Lepisosteus oculatus: one gene and its partner. The protein of the gene in region 2 purifies or fractionates together with the protein of the main gene of each other region. This does not show direct contact. Links are inferred from orthologs where the notes say so. Each region holds a gene or a part of one and is shown on either strand. Other genes may lie near its edges.

Region 1 (15,283 bases), on a different chromosome or scaffold from region 2:
CATGACATTACACAATTGCATCAAAAAGTTATATTTATTTCCTTTATAACAATACTAAAGGAACTTTCCTTTCATATAGTAGCTAGCATAAAAAACAGTCAAATTATCTATTAAGACTTGAAGAATATCTACCTTTAAGGTTAACCACATAATTCCCAAATAATGGTTATTACAAACACCAATCTTATTCAATATTTCTTGACGCCCCCACAAATAAGCAATAAAAGCTAAGATGCTCAGTTTTAAAGGGACCTTGATTTAGTATCAATGGGAAAAACTTCACTACAGACTGCACCTAACTCAGAGCTCATGTGTTTTCAAGCGCAGTCATTACTTACAAAATAATGAAAAACATAACCAAGATCAAGTGTCAATACAACCATATTACAGTATGTGGCTACATTCATAGTTAGACATAGAGCTGATTAATGGTTGTATAATTATGTATTGTACATAGTTACTTTTTTGTAGAATCACTATTAAGAGGAATCAAGAAAATGGTTTGTTTCATGTCTGACACTTTACTCACAAAGTTTTACCATTTTGTAGTGTCCTTTTATGCATTTGTAAATTGCAACAAACTAAGGATCAGGAAATAACCCTGAATTATGTAACATCCTTTAAAGAGAGCAAATGAAAAAAAAGCACCAAAGAGATGTCAAGAAAATGCCCCAGCAGTACTGAAGTCTTAAAAGCTGACCCCTGTGGTACAGAATAAACATATGAATCCTTGTAAAGCCTTCCCAAAAATTCACAGAGAAGCACAATCCAATACCAACTTCCAAGAGATCTTATGGTTCTCCAAGAACTGCACTTGTCAAAATATCCATCCATTTTCTAGCCACTTATTCAACTCAGGGTCACAAAGGAGGCAAAGCCCATCCCAGCAAGCAAAAGGCGCAAGGCAGGATACACCTGGATGGGATGCCAGTCCATCACAGGGCACACACAGACACACTTACAACAGAGTCAACTTTTGTGGGACTGTGGGAGGAAACCAGAGCACTCAGAAGAAACCCACATGAACACAGGGACAACAGACAAACTCCACACAGATAGCAACCCAAGATGACCCCAGGGCCCAAGTGTTCCAAGGCAACAATGACAAACACCACATCACTGAGCTGCAAGGTCAGAATATACCCTACTAAAATAATTTTATTCAATGACCTATACAGTATATAAGAGAGTCCATGTGTATGTGCACTCATGTCCTGCAAATTGTGTCATGTCCAGACTGCAATTCTGCATTGTGCGTTATGCTTCCACAGGACTTTGGGTTGCCACAACATTCACACATGAAATTGGTGGCCATTTGGGTAATGAACGTATATATAATATATATAATAGAATGAAAAGAGATGATAAGGCAATCTCAAATTGTACACTCCCTCTGATTCAGTTTTACAGAAGGCACTGGTGGAAACAATGTATGTTTCTATTAAACCAGACCAAACCTACTGCACAAGATATTAACAGTTATTGGCTTCATTTGTGAAGTACAGTCATTGTCTGGTTTAGTTTTTTCCCTGAAGTTATGGTATGGACAGCATTTCTGTTATATTGTACGATCCTGCTTCTCATGAATTGACCCAAAATCTCTGTAAGGTATTATTCTTAAAATCTATTTCTTCAAATAAAATGTGGTAGATACCATCAGATCTAACTAAACTTTAAATAGCAAGTAGCCGGTAAATCTTTTAAAAATCATCCATTAAAAAAAGGTTTTAAAAAGCTGCTATATGAGATTTACACATAACTCCATTGTTCTAGTTTGTTTTAGGGAAAACAAATCATACTGATCAGATCAAAGTTTACAGGTATTAAAATCCAGTTGGCGAGAGATTCCTCCAACCACTAAAAAAGACTAGTTAATGTTTTACTGCAAATTGTCTGAAGATTCCAAAAACCTGATTGAAAATGTATTATGTGACATGATTTACCTAGACTGGTGGGAGAACCTTGAAGGAAACCGATTGATAATCCAGCAAAATCTCTTCACTGGTGGACTTGTGTAGTATGTAAACAGATACTGTAACAGCCAGATTATGATAATAAAATAAGTTAATCAACCTTACATATACACAACACTATACCACACAACTTTGGGAATCCCATTAAACCAGACACTGGATCCTTGAGATTCAAAGGCTCAATGACTGACGTAGGTTCTTACAAACATGGAGTTATAAATTCAGACATGTGACCAACTCCAATAAACATTTCAAAGCCCTATGATTAAACAGAAGATTCACATGAGCACCTATTTAATTTTTTTTTGTATGCAACTCAGATCATAAAACTCAGTAATGTAGATGGAGTTTCCACTTGACATGAATCCACATTGTATTCCAAGAATGTGATCTGGCACAAGACAGTTGGCAGAGACTCCAGACAGAGCAGCAGGGTGCCTAACTGAAGACCGTGTCTTTGTCATTTTTCTTCGGCAATATTGGGAATGTTCTTTTCTCATGATGTTATCATACTTTCAGAGGGTGGAACGCCCTAAAAGGCCAGGGCAAATACCGATTAAGAGAAGAACAACAGTCTTATTTCACTTGAAGCATGACTGCTTTGACTGGCAGGGAATTTATATAATGCAGTCCTTTGTTGAATCTATGTGGTCTTCTCTTTTTAGCGTAGTGTATACTTAATACCTTGTGAAACAAGTGTTTACAATACAGTATTTAAGAGATTTTCAATTGGGTGTTTACACAGGCTACCATTTATAATGTTTTAATTGTATTCCTTCATCACTGTGCTCTTAATTACAAAATGAATTTAACTTATCACAAAATGTACTTTATAAGCATGCCTGACTTCTTTTCGGTGAGCTTTCATTCATCCATACTGATCCAGGTCACCCTCTTAAACCAGCTCCAGACCGTGTATCTTTAATTTCAGTCAAATACATTTTATGGCTCTTGCAAAACAATTGTGAGCTAACACAAAACAGGAAAGAGAAGTAGATTCAGTGAAAGATAATCAAAACTTAAGTAAGAATCGTGCATTCTTTGACTTGACAGTGGGCTTAATAAACACTCCCTGAAAATCCTCTTATGTGAATCGTCTCATGATGAGTAAAACTCGTGACTATAGAAACTAGCGTAGACATTTTTGGAAAGTAATGTGATCTACAGTAGCAAAAAAACGCAAGAAAGTTTTAAAAAGTAGCGCTTTCATGTAAGGTTCCCGAAACATTTCCGAAACAGCACTACAAAACTAAAACATTAAATTAAAATACATTAAATAAGCCATTTTTTATTAAAGACATCCACATGTCCAACCAAATAGAGTACGCAGAACTAACAGACTGCACTGCAATTCGCAAAGGGTCAATGAACTCGAGCCTGATAGAAACGTGTCACAGGTGAGAAACCAGGCTAACCTCCAAGGAAACCTTAGAGCATTTGCTCTTAACTGAGTCTCGGCCATCATCGTCGCCCCGTTATTACTAATACAACTGCAAATTATTACTAGGAATCACCAAGAAACTCATTGTCTGGTCCTGGGATCAAAAAAGCAAGACGGAGTAGCACACTAACGACGAATCTAAAATTGTAGAATTAGCTAAATTTGAAGAAAGAAATTGGTAGACTCCTAGGACATGTATTTACAGTATGTTGATGTGAGCAAGGTTTCGTTGTTAAAACAGTTTTTGATGTTACCTAGTAAAGAGAGAAGCAAATGCTATGATAAATTATACAGTGCACACTGAATAAATAACTTTGCAGACTATAAACTATCAGAGACTTTTAAAAAAATGTCTTAAGAACTAATTTAGCTTCTTTTAGGTATGCCTGTCTTATAATGGACAATGGGGAGTTACTTGATAGCTTCAGATCCAAAGTGACATTCAAATATATTTAAGATATTCGCTTGTTAAACTGCCAGAATTAATCCGTTCAGTAGGATCTACAGTATAAAGGAGTTACTTGATCTGACGCTTTGGGACAGAACTGATACACCATTATAAAAAGGTTGAAAACTCCTGCCAAATGCAATGGTGTTCAAGACTAAGGCATTGTAGTAATGTGGAAATTTACACAAAAAGTTTGAGGGTATAAACTGTTACACCACAACAAGTTCACAACAACAGATCGCAGCCTTGTCCACTAATCTAAAAGCTTCCAGTTGGCAGTCAATTAATGCCCTAAAACAGGAGTCCTCAGTTTTGGTCCTGTAGGGGTGGTATGTGTACAGATTTCACATGGTACAGTAAGTCTCAGTAGTTCTCACCAGCAACTGAATATCATGGATAAGTTGATAAATTGGTTCAATTATGTCAATAATTAATGTCTGTAACTTTTCACACAGGTCTAAGATTGGACAGACCCCCCCTGCCATGTTCATAAAACAAGGTTTCCCAGTCTTAGTTCTCACCCCAGTGTCTGCAGTTTTCAATCCAGTTTTCTGAACTAAGGTATTAATTTGTTTTAGAGACTGAAAGTACATTTGATTTTTTTTATTATTCAAATAGGGGAATTTTTCAAGTGATGGATTTTGGAGGTAAATTAATACCCAGCAGTTCCAAAACTCGAAACAATTCAAAAAATTGAATTGGTAAATTGGTCAATTTAGTATGCAGTCACATAATAAAGTGCTCAAGTGAACAACAATCATCTTAAAACTCTTAAACTATTGATGAGAAGTGATTTTTCCTCACTTTCCTGTAGGAAAAAAAAAACATTACTGTTAATATTACTCTCCTTTTTAATTTCCAGCACAGATCTGCAGGATCTTGAATTTTAAGTTTTACATTACTTATAAAAAAAACAAGCCTACAAGGTCTACAAATCCTTATTTTGTAACAATTTTCACTTTCAACAAGTCCAAACATTTGTGGGCTTTCAAACCCATTCATGAAACATGAAAGTATCAGGCATTTAGACCAGGTAAACTACATTAAGAGCTTTCAGTCTCATGGAATATCCTACTACAGTACATCAGCAAAAGAGGAAACACATGTTTTTGAAGAATACTAGACATTAGAGCGTGAGAGATAAATCATCTTCACATTTACTGTAACTGAATTAGCATTCAAACATAAAATAGTCCGTGTTAACTGTTTAAGAGTTATACTTTCTTGTAATTAGAAACTATTGGATTGCAGTGTAGCGTGACTTAACCTAGGAAGTCAAATGAAAGTTGTATTGCTTATGAAATGAAGTTACATGTAATAATAAGCTAAGGGTGACTAACAGATGCGAGGCACGTCAATCTCGTGCTGTCTGCACACCAAACAACAATATTGTGCGACAGTGTATCACTTAAGCGTTCATCACTGAGAGTTAACTACGAATCTAATGTGTTTAAGACACTGGCAATTTGCACAGAGCACCAATGATATTATCGGCTTGAAACAACTGGAATAAGCCAAGCATCCTAATCCGTTGTTAACGTGCAAGTCACGTGAAACCATCATGAACACCTTTCATAAGGTCACAGCTGAGAACATTAGGTTTAATAAAATAAACAATAGATACACAGCTATGTACGATTAAAAGCAAATCAACGCCAATAAAGCTAAACGACAGTAACGTATACCCCTAATAATTATAATGTCCTAAGGAATAATTAACAATAAGTGAAGAAAATGGTTTTATTAATAAATTGTGCAAAGAATCTGCCTTTCCAATAACATGAAATCACAGGGTTTTTTTACCTAAATACATTACATTGTTTAAAATGTTTGTATATAAACTGGTTTACCAATGGTCAGGTAACACGAACACCAGAACCATATTAAGACAGAAAAAGGTAATTTAAAATTATCCTTCTTTAATTTTTACTATGCAGCCTGAATATCTGAAATGTAATTCGAACGAAGATGCAGCACTTTAGAATTTAACACGATTGTTGCGCAAAATGCACTAGTGTCTCCTTTCAAGTTACTTCCACCGTACAGTTAGACTAGTCAGAAAAATACATTATTTGTTGCACAGGTTGTGGTAAGCGTGAGAATTACTGCTGTAAAGCGGTAATTGATGTTGCATGTACAGTACTACCACTATTTTATCAAGCATTGCTAGACCTATCTGAAATTCTTGCTTTCGAAAGCTGATGCCTAGCGGCTGTAGGCTTCTCCGGTCCTAAGCTTGCCACCTTGGGGAATCAGAAAAAAACTGCGCAGACTCACCTGTCTCATCTGCGAGAAAGGTGATGCATATCTGATTCCATCTGCTTGTCCACTGCAATATCTTTGAAGAATCGCTGTTGGAGAAATAAAACACTCGCTAATTATTGTAGCTCGAAAAATGCGGATCCCACCAATCGGCACCCTTCTTTATTCATTCATTTTTGCTTTTTGAATCTTGAGAAGCATGGGAGGGGGACTTTGCGTAAGGTTTTGGTTGCCTAGAGACAGTTTAGCAATCCCGGACAGGTCCCTTTTCACTCCTGTGACTTGCTGCAATCTGCTGTTGCTCCCTGGATGCATTCGCCAATCGTAAATCAACGGTGCAGCATCATACAGCATCTACTGTGTCCTAAAGCCGTCCATGTTTATCAACGAATGGAAATTCTGATGGGTAGTTAACCACAATTTAGCTTTCCCCAGATATTTACACGAAATATTAAAATTATATTTAAATTTAGAAGGGCTACTTCGAGATAAGTGGTTCTCTTTCAAACTAACTAGTGTGGTATTATTAAAGACTGAGTAATTCACTACTCTCACACTCCTACCGCACCTCTTTTTTGTAATTGCTGCCTGTTGCAAGGTAGTAAATGGCCACAGCTGATATAGCGGTGGGAAGCCGTGATCCTGGTGGCTACAGTTCCTTAGGCTTTACAGATCTCACCACAAGCTTACACTCTGGTAAACACTTACCTTAATAAACTGAGTAAAATGAATTGTTCAACTATGAGCTAAGAGATAAAGACCAAGCAACTGATATTGTATGACTTCCAAAGTCCTCCTATAAAACATAATACAGCTCTTTCTTGCCAGTTGAACTTGGTTTTAATTTAACCCAGCAAGAAACTTATGAGTATAAGAATATAAACCAAGGAATATTCAGAAATCACAGTTATAAAACAAAATAAAGAGACTGTTATTCTCAGGGAAACATCTTTTTTATCCTTAGTCTCTTTTTCCATCATTGCATATTATGTAATTTTATAAAGCAGATAATTAAAGGAAGACAGGTTACATCACTGACCAGGAATGCTAAGTCTAAAACATCGGAAAGTTTCTGTCTTTACTCTGAAATCATTCAACTGTATTATTTAGCAAAGCTGAGTCAAGTCTATTGCATATGCTGATACTTAAGGGTTACTTAAGTGTGTTTAAATGAAGCCCTGTAGTGATGAACGCAGACATGCTGTATTTGAGGTGCCTGGCCTGACATTTATAGAACATTTTTTTTATCTGATCATTACAAGCTTTCAAAATTGAATTATGAATGAATTTATATTATTTATACACTTTAATTACAGTACATATCTTAAAGGTGGTGGGCAGCACAGTGGGACAGTGGTTACTATTGCTGTCTCACAGTGCTGGGACTGTAGGTCCAGTACTGGACCCAGGTTGCTGTCTCTGTTGGTGTTTGTTTGTTTGCATGGGTTTCCTCCCACTGTCCAAAAAAAAAAACCCATACAGGTGGGTTAATTGGCTTCTGGGAAAATTGGTCCTCGGTGTCAGTATGCCCTGCGGTGGACTGGCATCCCATTTCAGGGTGTCCCCTGCCTTGCGCCTGTTGATTGCCAGGATAGCTCCAGCTCTTCCACGACCCTGACCCTGAACTGGAAGAAGCAGTTAGAAATATGTATAGATGGGTATCAAATCTGCTACACCAGAATAGAATGCAGCATCTGTTTTCTTTTGCTTGAAACCTTTGATCTTAGAGGTTTGGTATATTTAGTGAAGAACTGTTGGACTGTTGTGGCACTAGTCCTACGTGATATGACACTGTACGATTTCTATCCACAGGGTGCATGAAAAATTTAGCATGCAAATGTATACTACAGAGATTTAATATAGCAGCATTGAACACGATTCTTATTGGTGTTCATTCTTCATACTACGAGTTTTATTGCATAATTTAATTGACCACTTGTGGATTGTAATTGTGTGTTCAAACATGGTACGAAACAGGGAATGAATTTCAGAACTTATTAAATTATTACAATATTGTAGACATTGTCTAGTGATTGAAAACCACCCTGTATTTTAGGTACACTACAAAAACTCATTCCACAAGGGTAATGATTCCACCATAACACCTTGTCTTTTTCTTAAGAAAGCAAACAGGCCCAGACTATCATTGTTCTTCAAATGTGCTCTACAGTGTACTAAGAGCTATGGTTCACTGAAGAGTAGATCTAGTTAAAATGGACATTAGAGATAATATGTGAACAGCTTCTGTTCCCAGAATAGCTGCATTATTTGATATATCCAACATTTCCATGAAAATCAGGTACAGATGGGATCATAAAACAGCAACACGAAGAACTGCATCTCAATCTGGAAATCTGTAATGCATAAAATGAAATTTAAATTGTACTTGTTGACATCACCCATAATCATATAAGCACACCTTCTACAATAAAAAAAAACATCTAATTTAAACGTTATTGAAAATACTTGTATTAATTGTTTTGTTCTGTAATGCACTACCGCTCTAATTCAAAGGAAACAATCTGGATTATCTTTTAGTTTTATACAAGGAATTACTGTACAAACTTCCAATACTACAGTAATCAGTGAAAGGTGTTACAGTAAGAACCAGAAGAAGTTCTGGGTAGCTCAGCATTATAATTTGTAGTATCAAAATATAGGTAAGGTAATGACCCTGTCTTGTTTTAATACATACTGTAGCACACTCTGTGCATTCTGTCTCATCCATCTATCCATTATCAGAAGGCCACTTATTCCTGATAATGTTTGAAGAAATCTGGAGTCTATCCAGGAAGAATGGAGCACAAGGCGAGATTATACTAAGTACTAAGGATAGCTTGCCAGTCTATCACAGGATGCTTACACACAGTTACAATTTAAAGACAGCTGACCCAGAATATCTCTAGCAAGAGGGAGGAAAACCTGTGCGGACAAAGAGAGAAGATATAAACTCCACAGAGAAGGCACGATAGGCCAGAAAATAGGACAAAGAGCTGTGATGCAGCAGTGCTAACTGGCTTTGTGCAAGGCTCCATCATACATGAAAGGAGTGTGAAATGCCTCTAAAATACAAGAGTCTGGGGCTTCAAGGGTCTGACATATCAACACGTTGTTCAAGGAAGGTCAAAGTTGGTCAGTGGATATATTTACTTCAATTGATGTCCACTTCCTTCCATCTAGCCTTAAATATGCCATGAATTCTCCAACTACAGAAAAACTAATCATATGATCTACTTCTTAAACTGTTCTTAAAATTGAGTCAGAGTTTTGATTTTCAACCTAAAGCCTGAAATTGTTAAGCTCCAGCATTTTTAATCATGTATTTGATTACATTCCAAAACACACTTCATGGTGACAAGAGCAAGCTTGTCACGGGTTCAGGTTCTTAGTGCAAAGCTGCGCTCAAAGAGTGAGTCTGCTGTTGCCTCTTCCCCTGCTTGAATTCAGAGATTAAGGCTTCTTTTTAAAAACCCCGTTCTACGTAAACCCAGCCCTTTTAATCAAGCTATATGTTTTGGTTATGTTCATACAACTCAGTCAGGCGACCTGTCACGACCTCTCAAGCTGCTTTATAAACCAAATATTGCAACTGGTTAAAACCTCAAGTTTGGATGGTGTAGTTAACATAAAAAAACCCTAGGGATTTTGTGATCATTATGATGAACTTTATGAACTTTTGATTCTCTAAAGTTTACTCTTAAAGAAGAGTCTCCTGGAAAATAGTAATCCAGTAGTGTATTTGAACAGTGGAAGAAATCTTAATTTTAGCTATTTTGTAAACTATGATGGATCATCTGTGTATAATTGCATTGGGTTTAAAATGAAGAGGTCAGTTCAATGAGAATACTTGATTGCTATGGTAAAAAATGCAGCATAGGTGAGATCTGAAGGTGGTAAAAGCCTAAGAGACTAATAATGACTAAAAGGAAATAAAAATGTGTTTTGGAGGTACTTCAAAGTAAGATCAAGCTTTTCAATTCCAAGGGTAGGGGTGTGATGAAAGTACCACAACATCGATGACATCATACATCTATTTAAAAAACATTTATTACTCTACAGTAGTGTTATGTTCATAAATTACATTTTACTTTGGCACAGAAGACATTGAAATAGGTTTCTTAGTACTACACTTTGTACTATCTGGTACTTTGTTGATTTTGTTTTGTAAAGATACAATGTAAAAATAAAATAAAATAAAATTAACATATACAGTATGATAAACACAGAAAACATAATGTTCAAAATATAGTAAAACAGATATATGAATATTATAATGATCAATATCCAACATTGTTTTTAACATTGACCACTTTGTTGTGATCTAGATGGTGTCAGTATATAAAATGACTTGACTTTTACTCCATCAAATCTATTACTGTAGTGACATGCGCTGGGATTTACAGAAGATCTTTCTGAGGGTGGTTCAGATCATACACTGAAGAAAGGGAGTGACTGACCTCTGGTGGAAAAAATCAAAATTGGTTCAATTCAATCCCAGATTCACAAAGTGATATTCTGTATGCAGGGCGTTATATTAAAAGAATTATTACTATTTATTGTCACAGTGTAATTGTGCATATTTTCTATCCATGGTGCAAATGTCATACTTCTGCATGGGTGTCTGCATTAGGTCCTGCATTATAAGACTGCATTGCATTTGTGGTTGTTCAGAAATGTGAGTTTGTAAAAGTACCGGCAATAATTATGCAAGCAAAGGAAAGAGTGGGTATCAACATTTTTTTGTGAAATGTTACCTAATATGGTGTTATATTGATATATTGTTATATTGTGCTAGTGCTATACCACCCCGAAGCCTGGATTAGTCTAGGCACTGATACCACTATAGATTTCTAAATATGTGGTGAACACAATGGCATATGGGAAGAAAATTTCACAGAACAAGAGCACAGAAAAATAACAGTTTAAGCGTATTAAGACTACTCTTATTGAGAAATTGCAGTAAAATTTCATTGATTTAATTTAATGTTAAAAGACTCTAATGGAGGTTCGTATTTCAAACCCGTCCCAGAAACTGACACACTTGACAACTGAAGAGGTCAAGGAAGAAAGAAACATTCAAAAACTAATGTAACATTCCACATATTCTTTTCTTTGAGATAGTAGAGATTCAGAAGAAATCTTGAAAATTACTTTGCTTCAAATACAGGAGTTAATGTTTCTTTAAGAACAGTAAGATACATGTTAGTACAAAGCCTCAAGTCAAAACTAAAGTCTCAATGCTTGTGTAGCTACTTGGAAACATTTGCTTCATCCTTATCATTTTCTCTTTCCTCAGAATAATAGACTAGTTTAGATAAACTATGAAATCAGCTTTGCAAGAGACAAGTAACATCCTGGAACCCAAAGGGTCACCACAGTGGCAAAACTATAAGAAAACAATATTGATGTCTTTCCATGGCCAGCTTTTAGCCATTTAAAACTGACTAATAGTTGCCTACTAATTAAAACTAAATAATACTAATTAGTCCAAACAATTACTACAGTAAAATCTCTGCAACCTCAAGGCCTGGAGCTAGTGCAACTACATTCATAGAAGGTGTTGGTTTTCTCCTTTATACAGTATCTAAAAAAATCTAAAGTCTAGGTTGTATACAAAAGCTGACCAGAAGTTTGTTATTGGATATGTTCCAGGAAAATTAACTATGATACTTTAAGAACTGGTTTAGAGATGGTTCTTTTAAAAAATAGAACACAGACATACAGTATATAGAGTATACAACATTTACAAAGTTACACATTTTGTGATCTAACAGTTTTAAATGAAGACACATTTAAGTAGAATTTATTTATTTGAGAATGGGGTAGATACAGTAAGTGTACACACCCCATAATAAAACAATTGTAAATTAGCTGTGGTGTAACCAATCACCTTCCAAATCCCACAAAAAGCTAATTATCCCACACCTGTGTTTAACTGTAGTGAGTCTGATTATTTCAGAATAAAATCAGCTGTTTGTGTATGTCTTTGCTTTCGTTAGTATATCGAGTATAGAGACAGAGGTGGAAAGGAGCAAGTGTTTGGAGTTTGGAGTTTGGAGTTTGGAGTTTGGAGTTTGGAGTTTGGAGTTTGGAGTTTGGAGTTTGGAGTTTGGAGTTTGGAGTTTGGAGTTTGGAGTTTGGAGTTTGGAGTTTGGAGTTTGGAGTTTGGAGTTTGGAGTTTGGAGTTTGGAGTTTGGAGTTTGGAGTTTGGAGTTTGGAGTTTGGAGTTTGGAGTTTGGAGTTTGGAGTTTGGAGTTTGGAGTTTGGAGTTTGGAGTTTGGAGTTTGGAGTTTGGAGTTTGGAGTTTGGAGTTTGGAGTTAAAAAGCGGTCATGTTGCGAGTATCCGCTTTGTTAGTAAATGATCGATTTCTAGGAGCGATAACATGTTTACTAGAAAGGGGCAAGCAATGGGTCAGCAGAGACTGAATGCCCTATCTTTCTTACACCCGAAGAAGACTCCATAGCCAAAACGTTTTCTTTCTTCTCTTTTCAGCATGGAATAAACCTATTACTATTTTCTTTGCAGCCTACGCATGGTGACGCAGCTACCAGCCTGAACTACTTCTTTACTAGAATGTCTGTTTGATAGCTATAAAGAGAATAGATTGTGGTTTGAAAGAAACAACGGGAGCTTTGACTGAATATATACAAGCTCATTAAAGTTTTTTTTGTTTTAAAACTGGGTTCTATTTCAACAACTTGAAAAGTACGTTCTTCAAACCCCCACCACCGTCTTTAGATTTACTCCGCGATGATTTTAGTAATATTTGGGAAAAACCTCACTTCATTACCCAGCGTCACTTGCTGCACTTGTTTCAAAAAGTGATCCAAGCATCCTCTGTGCCGTCTCTTTCTGATTGACAGTTCAGTAGATCTTTCTAGCTAACCTATCCCCAAAACAAGGGCGGGACTTCCTGTGTGCGAGAGGTCTGTCTGTTTTGGTGGAATTGATCTTGGCCCATAAGGTGAGAGATTATAGGTTTATGAATTATTATTGGGGAGAGTGCTATCGCTCCACACGCTTCTTTTGAGTATTCTGCTACATTGCACTGTATATTTAATTGTTGCAATTCTGGGGTAACAAAATAATAAAGAATGATCAATCAACAATTGCTCTACAGTGTACAGTATGTGCAACTTCTGTCCATCGGTGGATAAAGTGATCGTGTAAATTAAAGACTACGTATTATGGCCGTTTTCTTAACCTTGTGTTTCTTAAATCTCAGATGGCGTGAGGTGTAATTTTAAATGTTGACTGATGTTCTATATCGCACTGAAGTCAGTGTGATGTATAGCCTATTGCGCTGTATCTGAAACGTTTTTGAATGGTTATTTTTAAACTGCAAAAGACGGAAGTGCTGTAAACGTTAAGACGCAATATAAAAGCCATTCTAATTCTTAATATTTGGTGGCTTCAAAATTGAAACAATGATCTCTATCGGATGACATCCGCCGGAGGACTGCTACTTTTGCAGTGTTTTTCGCATGAGGTAATCTTTTAAAATAATTCTACTGCATTTTGTCTTATTACGTAGAATGCATTTATTGAATCCACGAAAGGTCAGCTTTTGGAACTTCCCGATAGTAAATATAATAAGGTGTGTAGGGTACTTGGCGCAAATCTGATATGCGGTTACATGCAAAGCAGATGATCCGTTTCTCACGTCTGTGGCATATGCTCACTTTGTGAACATGCAATATCGTAGTGCAACATTTAATTCAACATATTTAACCTTCCTTTTTACCTCTTCCATCCTTCCTCCAGAAACAAAACAGCCCCATTATTACAATGCCTTACTACAGCTTGGAGATCAGCTGGTGCTTGTGGACATTTCTAGGTCTGCTTTCACTGCCTGGTGTGTTTCTGAGCCAAGACAAGTTAAATAAACTCCTGTTGGTATCTTTCGACGGATTCCGTTGGGACTACCTTGACAGGGTTTCAACACCCAACTTCGACTCGCTGATTAAGAGCGGTGTGCAGGTGGAGCGCGTCTACAATGCCTACATCACAAAGACCTACCCTGACCATTACACCCTCGTGACTGGCCTTCACGCTGAAAGCCATGGTATAGTGGCTAACGAAATGTATGACCCTGACATCAACCGAACTTTCTCCATGGACAGAATGGATATTTATGACTCCATCTGGTGGGATGAAGCTATTCCAATTTGGGTCAGCAACCAAGAGGGAGGACACAGAAGTGGTGCTGCTATGTGGCCAGGTTCTGATGTGAAGATCCATGGGAAATATCCCACTCACTACATGCTCTACAATGAGTCTACCCACTTTGAAGTGAGAGTACAACAGCTGATCAGCTGGTTCATGAGCACCGAGCCCATCAACTTTGGCCTGTTGTACTGGGAGGAACCAGATGAGAGTGGCCATCGGTTGGGTCCTGAAAACCCTGAAATGAATGATGTTATATCTCAAATTGATTCCAACCTGGGATACCTGCTAGATCAGCTGAAAAAGAGTGGTTTATATGACGAACTGAATCTTGTCGTCACGAGTGATCATGGGATGTCACAGATGTCATTGGACAGGGTTATCGAGCTGGATAATTATGTAGATAGAGACCTTTATACATGGATTGACAAATCTCCCGTGGTTGGCATTTTGCCTAAGGAAGGTAAGACCCTACGTTGTTTCCGGGTTTTATTGTTTTCGTATTATTATTTCATATTGGGTTTTATTGTTTGGATTGTTCAGCTTTGCTTATTAATTATCTCTTCTTAGTGTAGTTAAAATGTAATATTTTTAGAGTCTGCAGCTACTGTAGGTCTAGTTATAGGTCAGTCACATTAGTCATGTCATTCTGGTGGTATCTGTTGTTCCGTGTATTGACTTAACTTAATTAACTTAAATGTTCCATATGAATTCAAATAAAACAGTTGTTCAAATTTCATGGAGAAATTACTTGATGCTGGAAAATATTGACCTTAAGCTTTTTCAAAAGAAATTATATGGTTGTTTGTGATTCCTTGATAACGTGTGTTTTTGTGTATATTCAGGCAGATTTGAAGAAGTGTACACAGCTTTAGAAAAAGCACACCCTAACATGACTGTGTACAAGAGAGAAAGCATTCCTGAGCGCTACTACTACAAGTATAATAGCAGGATTCAGCCTATTTTAGCAGAAGCCAAGGAAGGCTGGACA
Region 2 (15,499 bases):
CTGCAAAACGCAGTGTCTCTGATGCTCCTTAGTGTTGCATCATCAAAGTGAAAAGTATTTCTTCATGTTAGAGTTAATCTTTCCTACTGTGTGTATCAACAACTCTCCTGGGAAGGCCTTCAAGAGTATCAAAATCACCCTCCTGGGAAACCTGCCTACCAAGACATTGCTTCCTGGAAACTCCTCACACTCTACCAAGAATCTCAATGTTCTCCGAGAACATTCATCTCTTTATACCCTGTATCCCTGTATCCCCTCTCCAGCAGGGTCTTCCTCGGAATTCCTATACACTTTCCCATGAAGTGCTGTCTGTCCTCTCCAAGAATCCCTTTGTAGCTTCTCCAGCAGTGCCTGCTGGGAATCCCTGTGTACCTTCTCCAGGATTCCTCCCGGGAATCCTTGCATGCTCCCCCAAGAACTCCCTGCACTCTCTCTCCAAGGCTGGCACTGGTTACTTCCTGCAGAACCTCACTGGGCAAAGTATCCACTCATCTGTACCATTTCAAGGGCATGAAGATTTGGCATCTGTGGGGACCAGGGGTCAGCTGAGAAACCTCAACACGCCACGGTGACCCAACAGGACATGGCACTGGGGCCACCGAGCAAGATACTGCCCCAGAGAGGCAAGAAATACTAACTTCTCTCACGCCTGCACCCCAGTGGCTTAGGACATCCAGCCTTGGTGCCGGAGAGGAAATTGCAATGGAATGAATGGAATCTTTGCGCACGCTCAGCGCAGTGACCACTTTCCTGAAGGAAACTGGCTTCAAAAACATAGGAGCTACCTTGACTCACATGTTACTCATTTTTAAACTTCCCCCAGATGCTGCCAAGAAAAAACAAAAGCCCTTTCAATCCCATATTGTTCACATGGTAACTAACTGTATACATCCTTTCTTGGTACCAAACGTATTACCGGATGCAGTACGCTGTAAAAGATATATATTCCACGACGGGCATTTTTTTAAACATACTTTCTGATTTCCTTGCTTTTCTGACAGCTACAGTATAGGGGCTGCTGGCTCCACCCCACGGGCCTTGGCGCCCACCACCAAAAGCAACTGGAAGGTATAAGCTTTTGAACTGGGCCAGGATTTCACACGGAGCAGAACAACAAGGAATGCGGCAGCCTGTACGGCGATTGTGGCGATTCTGCAGGACTCCCAGCAATTATCTACTCCCCAGATCCAAATTCTCCCGTTTTGCGCGTGGAAATAAATTCTTCAAGAATGCGGTCGAGGCTGCCAGACCTCCTCGTTTCAGTAGCAAGAATGCTGAAGGCAGCCAAGAACATTATTTTTCTTAATTAAACCTTTCCACATCGACTGCGCGTTCTTGTTTATGTCTTATTTATTAAAGATGGCGACGGGCGCGCGGCCCTACCTGGGAACAGCTGTTCGGGCCCACAGCCTCTCCCTTCCACTTCCCAGTCCTCTCGAGCCCCCCACGCAAGCTCGGCCAGAGCGGCGCTCCGGGTTTGGCAACGGAACACTTCAAATGCAACGCTGGAAGGTCCTTTTTCAGCCGGTCAGACAAGAACCGTCCAGTTCGTCTCCCACTCCCCACCCAAGACAGAACAGAGCTGCCAGTAAAATCCTCCACATGACAGCAACACTGCAGCTGAAACGCTACAACTGGAAAGGTTTTCCACAACACTCTTGACAGCACTGACATTGCATCTGGCTAAATACATATATACGTACACATATCTGGGGGAGTGTTAAACATTAGTCTTGGTAATTAAAGGGGCTCAATGTGCTGGAAAGTCTACTCAAACTTTGGCTCTTCAGTTCTGTATCTATGATAAAGCACCAGCTGTCCTTCTTCCTCACATGTTTCTTACCTCTGGCTGCATAAATCAACTGACACGACTTGCAAACCCTGTACAATGCTTGGAAGCTCAACGTTGCTACAAAAAAAAAAGCTGCAACATTGGTCTCGCAGGGTCTGAAATGAAATACTTGTGTTGAATACTTGAAGCCAGTTCTAGAGAAACAACTTTTTATTGCGCAAAGACGAATCTCCTATTTTCCCACCCTGAACAAATTGCCCATTACTTTACAAATGCGACTCCATGTTCTTCTTTCTACACCAAGTGTGGACATGCATCATGTATCATTTGCATCACACTCCTACCACTAATCTGCTAAAGTGGAGGGAGGACAAGACGCTACATGCACAAGGAACGAGTGATGGATTTACTTAGTCCTGAGGAAGAAGGGCCATAAAATAGGATTGGTTTAAAATAAAGTACTGCTAGAAACATGATGGGGAGATTAAGTGGGCAAAAGAGCACTTCCTACCCCAACCCCAGTCCTGGAGAGCTACATGTTAATCATATAAGCCACCCGCGTCCGACGATCGGCAACCACTGTTAAGTTAATCAATTAAGACCCTAATCTGCTCAATTACAAAAACTCCGGTCCTTGCAGGATAAGGGAGCAATCAGATTTCGGTTTCAAACCATCTCTCGAATACCTCCAACTGAGTTTTGCCCGCTGCACAGCCGAGGGCAGCGATGGTCCAACCGGATGTCCGCCCTCTTCTGGTTCTGCGCGTCTCAGCTCATCTTCAGTCACGTTCGCATTCGGACATTGGGAAATCGATCCACCCCACCCCCCCCCAAAAATAAATGCCACTACAAGCGGCATTGGGAATCTTTCCCAAGCACTGCTGGAGCCGAGCACTTCATACGCGAGACAACCCTCCCCCCTCTGTCACCTGTCTGAAAAGAAGGGAAGGAGTAGCGCAACTGGAAATAAGGTTGTGAGAACCCCGAGGTGGTGTGAACTTCTGTCTAGCGATTTGTTGGGGTTTTTTAACCCTTTTCCTTGTTCGGTTTCCGTGTTTTCGTAAGGTCTGCTCCAACAGCTGAGCCTGACAGAAAACCACCCGGTCCTGCAGCAGGTGTGCCTCCCTGCCTCCCTCCCTGACCTCCTCTCCGCTCTTCCTCAGGAGACTCCCAGCCTCCTCGTCCCTCCCAGCGCCGCTCCACCTCCGCACCCCTGGGGGCACCAACACCGTCTCGGCCCCGCACACCTCAACACGCCCCGGCGGGGGGGGAGCCAAGCACAGGTGGAAACTACGCGGAGGTGTGTTGAAAACTGAGGACGGGAGGCGCTTCTTTATCCACAGGGAGTGCGGGAGTGTGGGACAAGCTGTGGGAGTTCCTTTAAGATGTGGCTGGGTGAGATCACTGGATCGATAAGCGACCAGTTGTTCGGGCAAGGGCGCTGCGTCAGCAGGCCTAGACTGCCGAGGAACACGTAAAGGGTTATTCCACGCTGGAAAGAGAAGACAAGAAGCACATTTAGGCCGTGGGCCTTCTTCGGCTCGCACACCTGAGGACGTTTCCACAGCCGAAACGTTGAGCTGCTTCTCTTCTCAGCATGGAATAACCCTTTACTTGTTCCAATAAACTCCTTACTGCCCACTGAGCCGAAGGGCCTCCTCTCATGTATAACCTTGCTTATGCACATTTCTATCGGACACAGGTAACGCTCTCCTGTTCCTCTTGGCACTGTGGACAGCACAGCAAGCCCTCCTCACAGCCTCCACGGACATCTTTAGAAGGCAAGCAAGCAAAGCATTAACCTGCTTATTTTATTCACTTAACAGGGCGTATTAACTTGGTTTCATTAAAGCACAGGCAAACAGTAGTGAACACAGAAGGTCAACAGTGGCTGTTAATGCAGGGATAAAGCTATATCTCACCGGGTTTAATCTGCTCAAAACTCATCCGTGCAGATTCGGAGTCTAATTCGGCCTGGAAAGCAGGGCTTACGATTCACCCATGATGCTGCCTGAAATTGTAACGCATGAACGCTCTCATTTGTCAAGGAAAAAAAAAAAGAAATGTTGGAAGAATGGAAATTAAATTCTAAAATGGAGTCTGCTAGGTCTAACGCACAGCTTTTACACTCTCATTCCAAATACAATTTTAATAGAGTCGCACAATGCCTAATGAAAAATAAAATATTAAAATAAGCACAAATGCAGGGAATATCGTCATTATACGGAAAATGAATCTCATATTCTTTCTTCAGTTCAGCACTTAGCTGAGTGCTGCCGATTGTCCGACTGTCCAGAAAACCTGGGTTTAGACTGCATCAGAAAAACAGGAGAGCACAGACCTATTTAGTTCCGAGCCCGAGTTGAACAGTGCACAATTCTTAGGCAAGGCTATACTCTTCTAAATCCACATGGCACACATAAGTACAGAAAACTAGGTCCATATATTAAATGTGCTCATTTACAGCAGTGTCCAGGACAACCAGGGGACGAAAGACCCTGGTGAATCTGCCGAAAATTATGCCGATTCATCACATCAAAAGCCAAGGCTACCAGGACCAAAGCTCTTGCTAGTGACACTACAGCCGAATTACGGACCCCACTGTGAGCTCAGTGAGTTATAAGACGACACTCCGGCTGGACTCCGATGGTAACTGGGCTCAGATTGGTCACAACTGGACACTTGACTGCTATCAAGGGCGCTTTAAGGGCTGCACGCAGCTCAGACACACAGCTGATAAGACCCTGCTATTAATGTCCCGGCAGCGTGCGGCGCTGGGAACACCACAGCAGCCCAGCCAAATACCTGTCAGCCCCGCAGGGCTGCGATTTCTACTGCTGGACCCCAGGGCACCACTGCGCCCTCTGGCCCACGAGAACGCCGCGGGGCAGATCAGGCGCTCCTGCCCTCCACACGGGGACGGGCGAGGGTACGGAACAGAATTCCGGGGAGACAACGTAGCCACCCGCTGAGCAACTGTTTCCACTGACGGACAAGCCCTGGATCAATAGAGCCATCTGGACGAGCGGGCCAGGGCCAAAGGCCGCATCTCCCCTCCGCATCGCTCCGTCGCTCTGGTGTTAAGGGGAACCTTAACACGCCTTGCCGTTACAGGAGACGGTTACGACACTACTGAACCGCAGCACAGCGCCTCCTCCGCACTGCACTGTGGGTGAGAACTCCGCGGTGCCCCTGTAGCTCCGAGAGACGCCCACGCCTGTGCTCGCGTTGCAGGGCCGCACTAGTGATCCGGGACCTGGAACGCGCGGCTGGGAGGGCAGTTCTCTCTCCCAGCAGCGGGACGCAAGCGCTGCGTGGTCCGCTTCCCGGGATCTGAGCGGATCCAAGCGTACCTGGGCTCGTCCTCCTGCCAGATTAGTAATAAGAACGACAATGATGATGATGATGATGAAAATGGAAACTGCCATCCGCTGGTTCATTGCCCGTTAACAGAAGGCCTGCAGGAGCCCTGGCCGGCCCAGGCTGCACCTGTGTCCTCTCCCTCCTTTCCCGCTCCGGCAGACAGCTCCCGCGGGGGCCGGGAAGCACCGGGCCGCGGAGCTGGGGGAGCAGATCCGACGGTGTGTAATCCCATCGCTGACGTCAGCACGGCGCTCCAGGAAGCCAATCCTCTTAGTGCGCTGATGTGGATCCCGGGGCCGGCCGGGAGCCAGCGCCGGAGACGGAACAGCACCCAGGTGCCGGCGCAGGGCGCCTGCACGGACAGCGACCGGACAGCTTGGCCAGTGATCCCAAGCGTCTGTCGAACCAGCACAAGTCGCCTGCCTACCTCCACAGTCTCCCGGCGCTTAAGTCTGCCAGCGACCCAAGCTCTCATCCAGAGAACATCATCTACTATCACACATGCGAGTGTATGGTAGGTGTGGAGTTTTCCTTGTGTACACCTCGGCAAACCTTCTCACCTGGCTTCTTAAACCCGAAACCCTTCGCAAAACATCAGGGAATCCGAAGGCCCTGATTCAAGACGGGTCGTGACGTACTGACCCCCGTCTTAAAACAACGAAGACCAAAACGTTCTCCAGCCACCCACCTACCGGTGGTGGAGTGTCTGCTTTTGTCAGTACCCTTGCAGAGAAAGAGAGGCATGCCCAATGCCACGAAGTACTTAACTCCACACCTGGGGGCTTCAGAAAGCTGCCGGCTGTACCGAAGTCTGTTGCTTTGTAACCCAGAGGCGCACAGATAAAACGCCCCCCTGACTGAAGACCGGCTGGGGCGCTTTAACTTCAGAGCACAGGCCGGCGCGGTTCGCACGCTGGGAGTAAACCCCGAGTAAGGCACAAGGCGCTTCCGCACGGACAAGACCGCCGGAGGTGGTGGTGGTGACATTCACTGGTGACCCTAACGCGGAGGCTTAATATTTGTATATCGCAAAACTTAAAAGTGCTCGCTTTGTCCGGACGTAACCCCCTCCCCACACACACACACGCTCTCCCTCACTGTAACGGGTCCAGCTTTCAACGTCTCAATCAAGGTCGCCGTTGAAGAAGAAGAAGAAGAAGAAGAAGAAGAAAAAAAAAAGCCCAGTTTTCCCTGCACGTTGTGTCACCGCGCAAGCTGCTCCGGACGTCGCCTTTCTGCGCATCGCAGCACCCCTAACAACGGAGCAAGTTTCCTGCTCGGCTCCAACCCCGCCAGCGAGCGAGCACGCCCGACCCGGCCCGGCCCAAAAACGATCGAGGCCACCACCATTCAGGCTTTTTCGTTGTTTTTTCGGGTGGGGGAGCCGGGAGCCAGGGCCCTTCGGCGACCCGAAGAAGAGAGACAGACACAGAGAGAGAGAGACAGAGCCCGTGTAAATCACAGCCAGGCCCGGCTGCTGTCACCAGCGCTGTGGGTCCCGGCAGACAGAATGGTTCCGCGGAACGAGCGTTCGGGAACGCCGGCCCGGAGAGTTCGGGAACGCCGGCCCGGAGCGCCCGGCTCGTACTCACCCCATTCCAGAAACTCGGACACGTTCTTCTCGCGGCGCAGGGGCGAGCTGCTGCACTCGTTGTGCAGGCAGATCAGCAGGTCCAGCAGGGTCTCCACGCTCAGGGCGCTGTCGTTCTTCTGATGCCCGTCCAGGAGCAGCTGCTCCAACTTCTTCAGCCTCACCTTCGCTGACATTTTCTAACGCCGCGGTGGTATAACAGCCTGCGCAACCCCCCTCTCTCCCTCCCCACCTCCTCCTTCTCCTTCTCTCTCCTCCGCTCCTTTCCAAGAAAATCGGGCACCCCCCCCGACAAATTTCCACCGGGAAGCGCGCCGGGGGATGGGGATGACCCTGCTGCCGCCTCCTCTGCAAGCGAAAAGCAGAGGATTTATCTGGCCGAGGTGCACTGCCGATTCCCAGACTCCCTCAGCTAGAATAAACCCGACATTTTGTTAAAACGGGATTCTGCGGTCTTCTCCCCCGGCCTGGGCTGCTCCCGTCGCCACCATGTCCTTCTACGTTCGGATTCCGGGCCCAGCTTGTCCCATTTGATCTAATCCTGAACAAATCTCTACTTTCCACTCGGAAGGGGCGGGGGGGGGGTGAGGGGATGTCTCAGGTTGTTTTTTTTCCCGTCGAGCGAGGCTCAGCTAACACACGCCTTCCATCCGCAGTGCTTTAAGAATGCAAACTATGATATCCCCATGACCGTAAAACGGAATACATCTTTGCAAGCGGATGAATTCTAGGTCTCCCCTTCCGGCCTCTGAAGATCACGATATTTATCTTCCTTTGAACGGCTCCAACTTGCCCGGTAGCGGCAGTGTGTAGAATATGGCTGAAGCCTCTTCCCAGCCCTCCCTCTCTCTCTCTGTGAATCCAGGCCGGGACCACAGCGCCCCGCCCACCCATCCACACCGGAAACGCTACCGAGCCGGGTGACGTCATGTGCTGATTGACAACCGCCGGGAAGAGAGCTGGCACGGACTTCACCCTTGGAAGACACCGCACGGCTCGTACGCTGGAAGGGAACAAACACGCATTTACAGAGGTGGCCCTGTGTTTGGCTCCTTTATTAGCTTCTGCAGTAACAAGCTGCTTGGAGCAGTGTTATGTGGACATGCCAAAAACGCAGCGTACTGAAGGCATTCTGCCCCAGCTAGCCTTCCTATACGTTCCTATACGTTTGCTGTTCTATACTGTACTGTTCAATAAGTTTGTCCGGTTTTGTTCCGCTGTCTTGTTTCTGCATTGTGCCAACCGTCTCCTTTTGCAATGAAAATACACACCTTTCCCACCGAATTGGAGCAAGCACCGTGACTTGAGGTCTGAGCAAGGGGGATACGCAGCTCCCAAAGGTGTTGATGGCGTGGGATCTACTGTTAGCTGAAATACTTAGTGGTGCTGAAGGAAGCTGCGGTTCGAAACGAAACCCGAAGCGAAACGTGGTAACAGACCTGGTATACTTGCAGATTAAAATGTCTCAAGTAGCCCTCACACTGAATTCAAAACGAGACTGTACTCCGGCAGGCGATCTCAACCCCTGCTTGCCCATGTTATAATTCCTGGGGTCGGCAGCTGCAATGTTGCCTCAGCACTGCAGTAAAATACGTTTTATCTGCAGATAACCTTATCATGTGTACTTTACCGTCAAGGTCCTGTATCAAACAAATAAGACGTCACTTTAAAGATATAGCGTGGTTAACTGGCCAGTCGTTTAAAGCAAATAAAACCCAACACAAGAAAACAAGCAGACATCCTGAAAGTGAAAACTGGTATGAGAAAAGATTAAGAGATTATTTTAGAGGTTCCTCAAACGTTAATAGCTTTTCTCTATAGTTACGCAGCTCACATGAAGACAGTAAATATCCCTTATTTTTTCCTGGAGGAAAAAAAAGATAAATAACTGTGTTGCTGATGATTTCTGATAAATAGCCTCTGAGTCTTTGTTATTGAGTCTGTCCTTCCAGGCTGGCTACGTGGGACCTAGGAGTGACCCCTCTTATTAATAATAACTAACTAATAACTAACATCACACTGATTAGTTGCCATTTTCTTGATTTTATAACCTATGATATTCTTAACTGCTATCGATGACTTTATGCATTTGGACTGGAGGCACACCGGACGCCTACAGTATAATCAATAAAAGTAAACTCAATTCTCATGGCAGCAATCCATTCATAATTCCTCATTATTTTAGATTATTGACCTAAAGCCTTTTTTTTCTACACCAGGTAGATTTTACAGTTATTTAACAGTGTTTGTAAGGTACAGCTATTTCATTAGTTCATGTTTACCACACAGGGAAAAGTACAAAATTATTTCCAATGTTATTTAGGCTCTTACAGCTCCTTGGCCTAATTATTCTGAATAGCCATCGTCATATATCTGTGCTCATCCTGTTCTCCGACAACAAGTAACCAGGACGCATATCCACAGAAAATCAGATGACAACGCTGTTCACTCTTGGTCTTTTCCTAATATCCTTTCTCACAGGTTTTTCTTCAATGCCATTAGTTTTTAAATCATGTGTAATTCCTGCCTCAAAGGTAGAAAGGCTGTTTTTTTTTTGTTTTTCCTGTGCCGGCAGGATATCCTGGGCAGCGCAGATGGGCGGTAGGACATGGTGAGGTGATGACCCCCCAGTAACCTTTGGGAAGAGCTGTTCGCCCACAGAGACCAGCCTTGAGGACTGGAGGCACCAGTCCTTTGTCAATGGGCTGTCCTCACACACACACCCCTACAAATTGTGCAACTGGTACGTACTCCGTATGGACAGCTGGGCGGAGTGGTGGCTCTGCGGCTCAGGACCTGCGCCTGTGGCTGGAAGGTTGCCGGTTCAAATCCCGCAGCTGGCAGAGGAATCCTACTCTGTTTGGCCCCTGAGCAAGGCCCTTCACCCCAACTGCTCCAGGGGCTCTGTATAATGGCTGACCCTGCGCTCTGACCCCCAGCTTCTCTCCCTGTCTGTGTCTCATGGAGAGCAACCTGGAGTATGAAGACTAATTCCTAAAAGACTTGTAAAAGGAATTGTATAGGGCTGATAAAGCCATGTTATGTTATACTCACCAACTACTACAGCTATAGTGGGACCCCTCCTTTACACTGCAGAAATAGCAAGGCATTAGAGCAAGATACTATATGTACCTACATAGAATAATATATGCATTGCTAGACACATATCTACTGATCTCTGCACAGTGTATAGCCACTGTACATGTATTGAAAATGCATGAATATATTTTTAATTCCACTGTGTCTACATGATAATCATACACAGTTTTAAAGAATAAAATGCTGAAAACATTTTAATAAAATGCAAACATTGCAGGGAGAAAGACATGGAAGTTGGGACAAACCATTTAATTTGTTGTGTAAATACCATGTGATCAGTAGACCATTGGATGCAGTTTCATTGGAAATAAACAAATATTTCTCTTTGATCCAATAACGATAAATAAACCTTGCAATAGTTTTACTTTAAGTCTGTAAAATAATGTTTTCCAGTTTTGCATATTTTGTGTGCTAAGAACTACAAACTAGAGCTACTCTGATCCAGAGACAGGGGAATCATTTTGCTAAAATATAAACAGAGAGAAGCAATTTTGCAGGGGAAAACGGGCATTTGCCATTGCAGATGTTTCAGACAATGAGGGCTGTTTGCATTGTTACCCTATCCTGCTTCCCAGCTAGAGCAGAGCTCGTGAGTGAGGCTCTGCCTCTGACCTCATTATAGCAGCACAGCGGGCCTTGAGATTTCACCTCAACACCCCAGTGACCGATCAGCAGTGCGTCACTCGACTGCGAGTCCTGTGACTCAGCTGTGTCCGTGCTGTGTCATGTGTGTCCATCCTGTGTTTCGGAGTTAATATCCCCTCACATTCCACAGCCTGTGTCATAAACCAGTCCGCCGGTAACTCAGCATTCTCAGACAACAAGCAGCTCGGGGAGGGTGGTTGGCTGAACCAGCACCCCCACCGCAATTCTGCATTCCACGGATTCAGCATTTGTCAAGGTCTTTATTTAGCTTTCAGAGACGGAAAGTGGAACATTCCATTTCTCACGGGTCAGATATGTAGCTGCACATACGCCGATTTTCCAAGTGGGTCAGAAGAGAGACGGGCAGAGAGCAAGGGGGAACGGGCAAATGAGGACAAAGACACGAGCCCCCGACACGACGGACAAACGGCAAGTTTTGATAATAAGGCGAACAATGTAAACTAACAAAGGACAACATTAAAATACTAGTAGTATTAAGCCCGAGATTTTGTTCCCGACTTGAGGACTGGGGAGGCCAATTTGTCCTGTAGGACAGCGTGGTGTTGTGGTGCATTGTGCTACTGCCTCACAGATCCATGTTTCAGGTTCGAATCCAGCACAGGGGTGCCTTCTGTGAGGAGTTTGCATGTTCTGCCTGGTGCCATGTGGGTTTTCTCCAGGTGCTCCAGTTTTTTTCCCCACAATCCATCTCTCTTGTCCCCTCTGCGTGTGTCCGGGGATGGGCTGGTGTCCCAGGATGGACGGGTGGACAGGTAATTGAACACAGGGGGGAGTCAATGTGGGGTGCGGTGAAGAATGAAAAATGGCCTAGTGGTGGTGAATAGCCGACAAGGGGTCCTCCTGAGAGGTGACGGAGTGCTTGGTGTAGTATGTGGCCCTTGTTTAGCATTCCCTGCCTTAACCGAAAGGCTTAAAACGTCTGTTCGTCTGCTGGCCGTGCATGAGTAACTCAGCGACCATTAGATTCACCACAGCTCGGCCGCCCTGCCTGCCGAAGCACAGTGATCCTGGAAGCAGACATTCCTGTGTGAAGGGCAGTGAGCACAGACAGCCGAGCGCCGTGTCAGCTGCGTGTACCCCTTCGCTGTCCTCAGGGGAACTCGAACCCCAGCCAGCCACAGAAGAGTGTGGGTTTTACCCATAAGGCCAGCCCACGTCTGAAACAATGCAGCCATTCCAAAAACATCGCAGCTATTTTCTAAAAAAGAGATCTGTTTAAATTCAGTCTCTTTTGAATTCAAGAATAGTGGCTGATGACTGCAAATGAGTTTCTGCGTAAGAGGAGCGCAGGTAGCCCCCGAGCAGAAGGGCCCAGCAGCTGATGAGCAACAGAAACCAAAGGAGCTGAGCCAAAGGCCCAGAGGCAACCTCAGCACCCGCAGGCTCCACTCTGACAGGCCGGAGAGGGTGAACCTCCTTAGTCTGGAATAGGGAAGACTATGAAGAGACCTCACCAAATCCTCCAAGGCACTGACAAAGGCGACCCCAGTGGGCTTCTTCGGGATCAGCCGTGAAACAGGAACCAGAGGGCTCAAAACTGAGACCACCAGGCGTTTCTTTGCACAAAGGGTTGTGGGTGTATGGAACAAAACACCCCGCAGTGTTGTTGTAGCCTGTGCCCTGAAAGAAAGGGCTGGATGGGATCCTTGGATCGATGAGCTACTAGAAACCAGTTTCTTAATACAATTTTAACAGTGCTCTCGATTTAAAGTCTGCGCTTTTCACAGTCCTTGAAATTGTTCTGGCAGACACCTCCTCAAAAAGGAACACAGGCCGACGACAGTGCGTCTTAAAAAGTTTAAAAATGTGAATGTCCGACTTACAGCATTAAATATTCACCGTCATTGATTTTAAAAAAAAAATCTGATTACGATTACAACTTTGTTACCACGCGGGAATTCCACAATTTCTCTTCTATTAAAAGTTTGTACAGGACGCCACCTGGAGGGACAAAATTGTTTGAAAATGACATTGCTGTTGGTTTGGATTGGTGCTACGGTGCTGTGAACACCGTGATACGCGGAAATACTTTGATTTTTAAATGTGTAATTCTAAGAATTACGTTTCAGTGTTATACAGATTTACTAGTCAAAACAGATCTGAATGTTTGATTCTTAAAGCAGCGTTGTCATAAACGTAAGTAGAATAATACTTCATTGTGGCACAATCACAATACATACACAATACAAATAGTATATTTCAAATAAGATTAATTCATTATTGTTATCCTTTGTAAAATCTGAGGGCCTCAGGGGTTAGCATACATACCGAAATAAATACATCTGTGGTACCAGATTTTATGCAGAATTTAAAAGGTTGAAAGAAAAAGGGTTTTCGGAATATTTACTGTTATCTAAAACTCCCAGATGTCAGCGGCCTCATTACTAAGGGGTGTCGAACAGAAAAATATTTAGATAACGTGTTGAATTAAGGTGCACATACATAGCTCAAATTTGGAATGCATTAATCTTGATATATATATATACACATCACATTTTGAAATGATTATGCATTTATATTTATAGCTTCCAAAAGGGGAAGTATTGCTAATTTTGAAGTTTAACTTGAAATCAGTTCGATTTAATCGATACTTTTGATTACTTGATTACATGTTATTTATTTTATGTTATTACGTTACTGTTATTGCTATTGTGTAACTGTCTATTGTCTTATCTTCTGTCCTATTTATATACTGCACCTGAGTGACTAATGAGAAACACTTTTCATTATACTATGCACCTGTGTAAGTTTAATGACAATAAAGTTGAATTGAATTAATCTGAAAGTGACATGCTGTAATACTGTAATATCAGTGGTAATGTGGCGTATTCCCACCAGGGGGAGACAAACACACATGTACGCAACAGACGGAGTCGGGAAGCCAGAAGCTGATCAGGTGAGTTCCCAGAAATACTGCAAGAAAACAGAACTTCTGCGTTTCACTGCAAACCGAATTACTGGGGACTGGGGACTTTTAAGAATTACAGAGATGGATGCATTTGGTGTAAAACAAGGTGCAACCGGAGGTGAGTTCTTTAACCACACACTGTAGCCCCCAAGATACTGTCAAGAAAGTTACAAGAACTACTTTATGTTCAGTAGTAGGCGGAGGAGGGGAAGGGGACAGTGGTTACCAGCCCTGGTTCTGGGGAACAGTTGTCTCTTCTGGGTTTTGCTCAAGCCAGTTACTAGTGGGATTTTTAATTTGTATCACTCCTGTACCAGTTTCTGGGTTTCAGAACTGGCCTTAATCAGATCTGTTGCCTGAAATGTAACCACACAGACCGACTGCGATTCAGGTGGTCATCCTTGTGTCCCAGCATTCATTTCTGGGCGCGTCAGAGACCAGCGTTGTTAATGTAGGTGCGCAGGCGGGCGGCCTGTCTCCCTGGGGCAGACCTGGGACTGTCTGTTCGCAAGAGGGCCTAGTCAGGATGAAGATGCTCCTCCACAGAAACCGCAAGCAGAGCTACAGACCACAGGGACTGTCCAGGGGTTCCCCAGACACAAAAGGAAATGTTTCACCCCCGAGTTTTAGCGGAGATTAAAATCAGCATGCTCAGGCAGTGAAACTACTCTTGATTACACTTAGTACTGTTTATGAGCAGCTCTGCTTTCATGTTTTATCAGTATTAACCCCTCCATTCATTTTCTCAACAGCTTTATCCAATGCGATGCTTGGGCCCTCGATCCTGTGGCTGGATTAAAGCATTGCTGGATTTTCAAGCACACCAAGGCCTGCTTCTCCAGTGCCCCAGACCGGTCATCACCCGAACTCGTTAGATCGTCCCCGTCTTCTCTCTCATGCCGGACCACGGGCATGCGGGAGAAAGGCAGACGCGCCCGTCTCACTGTCGCCCCCCAGCGGCAAACAGCGCACCAAGCATGCGTGGGGCGTGGGGCGGCGTCCGTCAACGTGTAATGAGCCGCTTGACAACGCAGACCCTGCAGCTTGAGCGCAGCATGAAAAGAATTGATGGCAACGCGCGGAAACAATGCCCGGGGAAGGGAACGACAGTTAAGCAAATGACACAATATTTACTCCGAGCAACGGCAGCGAGAGAGGAGGGGGGGGATGATCAGCGAGTGATTGTTGTAGACGAGACGGGGGAGGGAGATGCTCTCAAGGGCAGAGCGAGCGCACCTGCCCTGCAGAACGCCCGGGCCGGCGCGTGCCGCTCCCCATTGAAATGGAAATCTCCGCTCCGCGCGAGCAGACTCGGCTCTGCTCCTCTACAGCCTGGTTACCCAAATGTTGTATTTTGCATTGGGTGCATTGGGGAGGGGGGTCGTCATTTAAATTTCTCCCTGCCACTCTGATTTGCATTTCTTTTGTGTTCCGGTGCAGGGCTCAGACAGGCGATGTAGGTGATTGTAAAGCAAAGAGCAATCTGCAGCCTGGAGTATGTTTGCTTAAAGTTATTTTTATTTTAAAGTTCTTTTTTCTTTCATCACAATTCCAGAAGAATAAAAAGTTTTTTTTTAAAAAAAAAACAAGCGTTTCTCTACATTAGCTTAATTCTTAAACAAAGAAACGAGATAAAGGAAGTTTGAATAATTAAAAAACGAACTACTTGACCCTGAAGTCTAGGCTTCCAGAAGTCTTTCGTATCGCACATAGGGCTGTCTGCCATGTTCCCTCCTGTATAACAAGCTAAAAAAGATGGTATTTCATGCTATTTGTTCAGCCTGGGCGATTGAGCTCACCAGCTGGATCTGTGTTCAGCGTTGCTCGTGCCTCGGCTCCGGGGTCTTCCTCATGACGTCACCGCTGGCTCTCCCGTCAGGCACTGAGGAGTCAAATCAGCCGAGAACGAGGCAGACGAGCATCAGAGTACGCAACAGGTGGACTGTGGGCTGAAACTGGAACTGCTCTCACGTCCCACAGATTTTGTGACTACTATACCGACGGTGGAGCTAGAATTTAAATGGTTAAACTAAGAAACAGGCGGTTAGATCTGAACAATCTGAATTTCCATTTTCCTCCC

What was found.
Region 1: the proteins of cdc42bpb (region 2) and protein FAM167A purify together in Homo sapiens (co-immunoprecipitation; 3 studies listed by BioGRID and IntAct, counting the BioPlex papers as one, with this or other methods). This does not show direct contact. The link is inferred for Lepisosteus oculatus from reciprocal best matches to the Homo sapiens genes CDC42BPB and FAM167A.

The regions. Positions count from the first base shown.
Region 1 is NC_090697.1:56,587,293-56,602,575, reverse strand, and holds the start of protein FAM167A, read right to left. Parts: upstream 6,445-15,283; 5' UTR 6,140-6,444; intron 1-6,139. Other genes in the region: enpp5 (ectonucleotide pyrophosphatase/phosphodiesterase family member 5), read left to right, coding at 13,915-14,755, 15,138-15,283.
Region 2 is NC_090703.1:6,633,729-6,649,227, forward strand, and holds the start of cdc42bpb (serine/threonine-protein kinase MRCK beta), read right to left. Parts: upstream 7,618-15,499; 5' UTR 6,923-7,617; coding exon 6,748-6,922; intron 1-6,747. UniProt on the Homo sapiens protein: Serine/threonine-protein kinase which is an important downstream effector of CDC42 and plays a role in the regulation of cytoskeleton reorganization and cell migration. Regulates actin cytoskeletal reorganization via phosphorylation of PPP1R12C and MYL9/MLC2.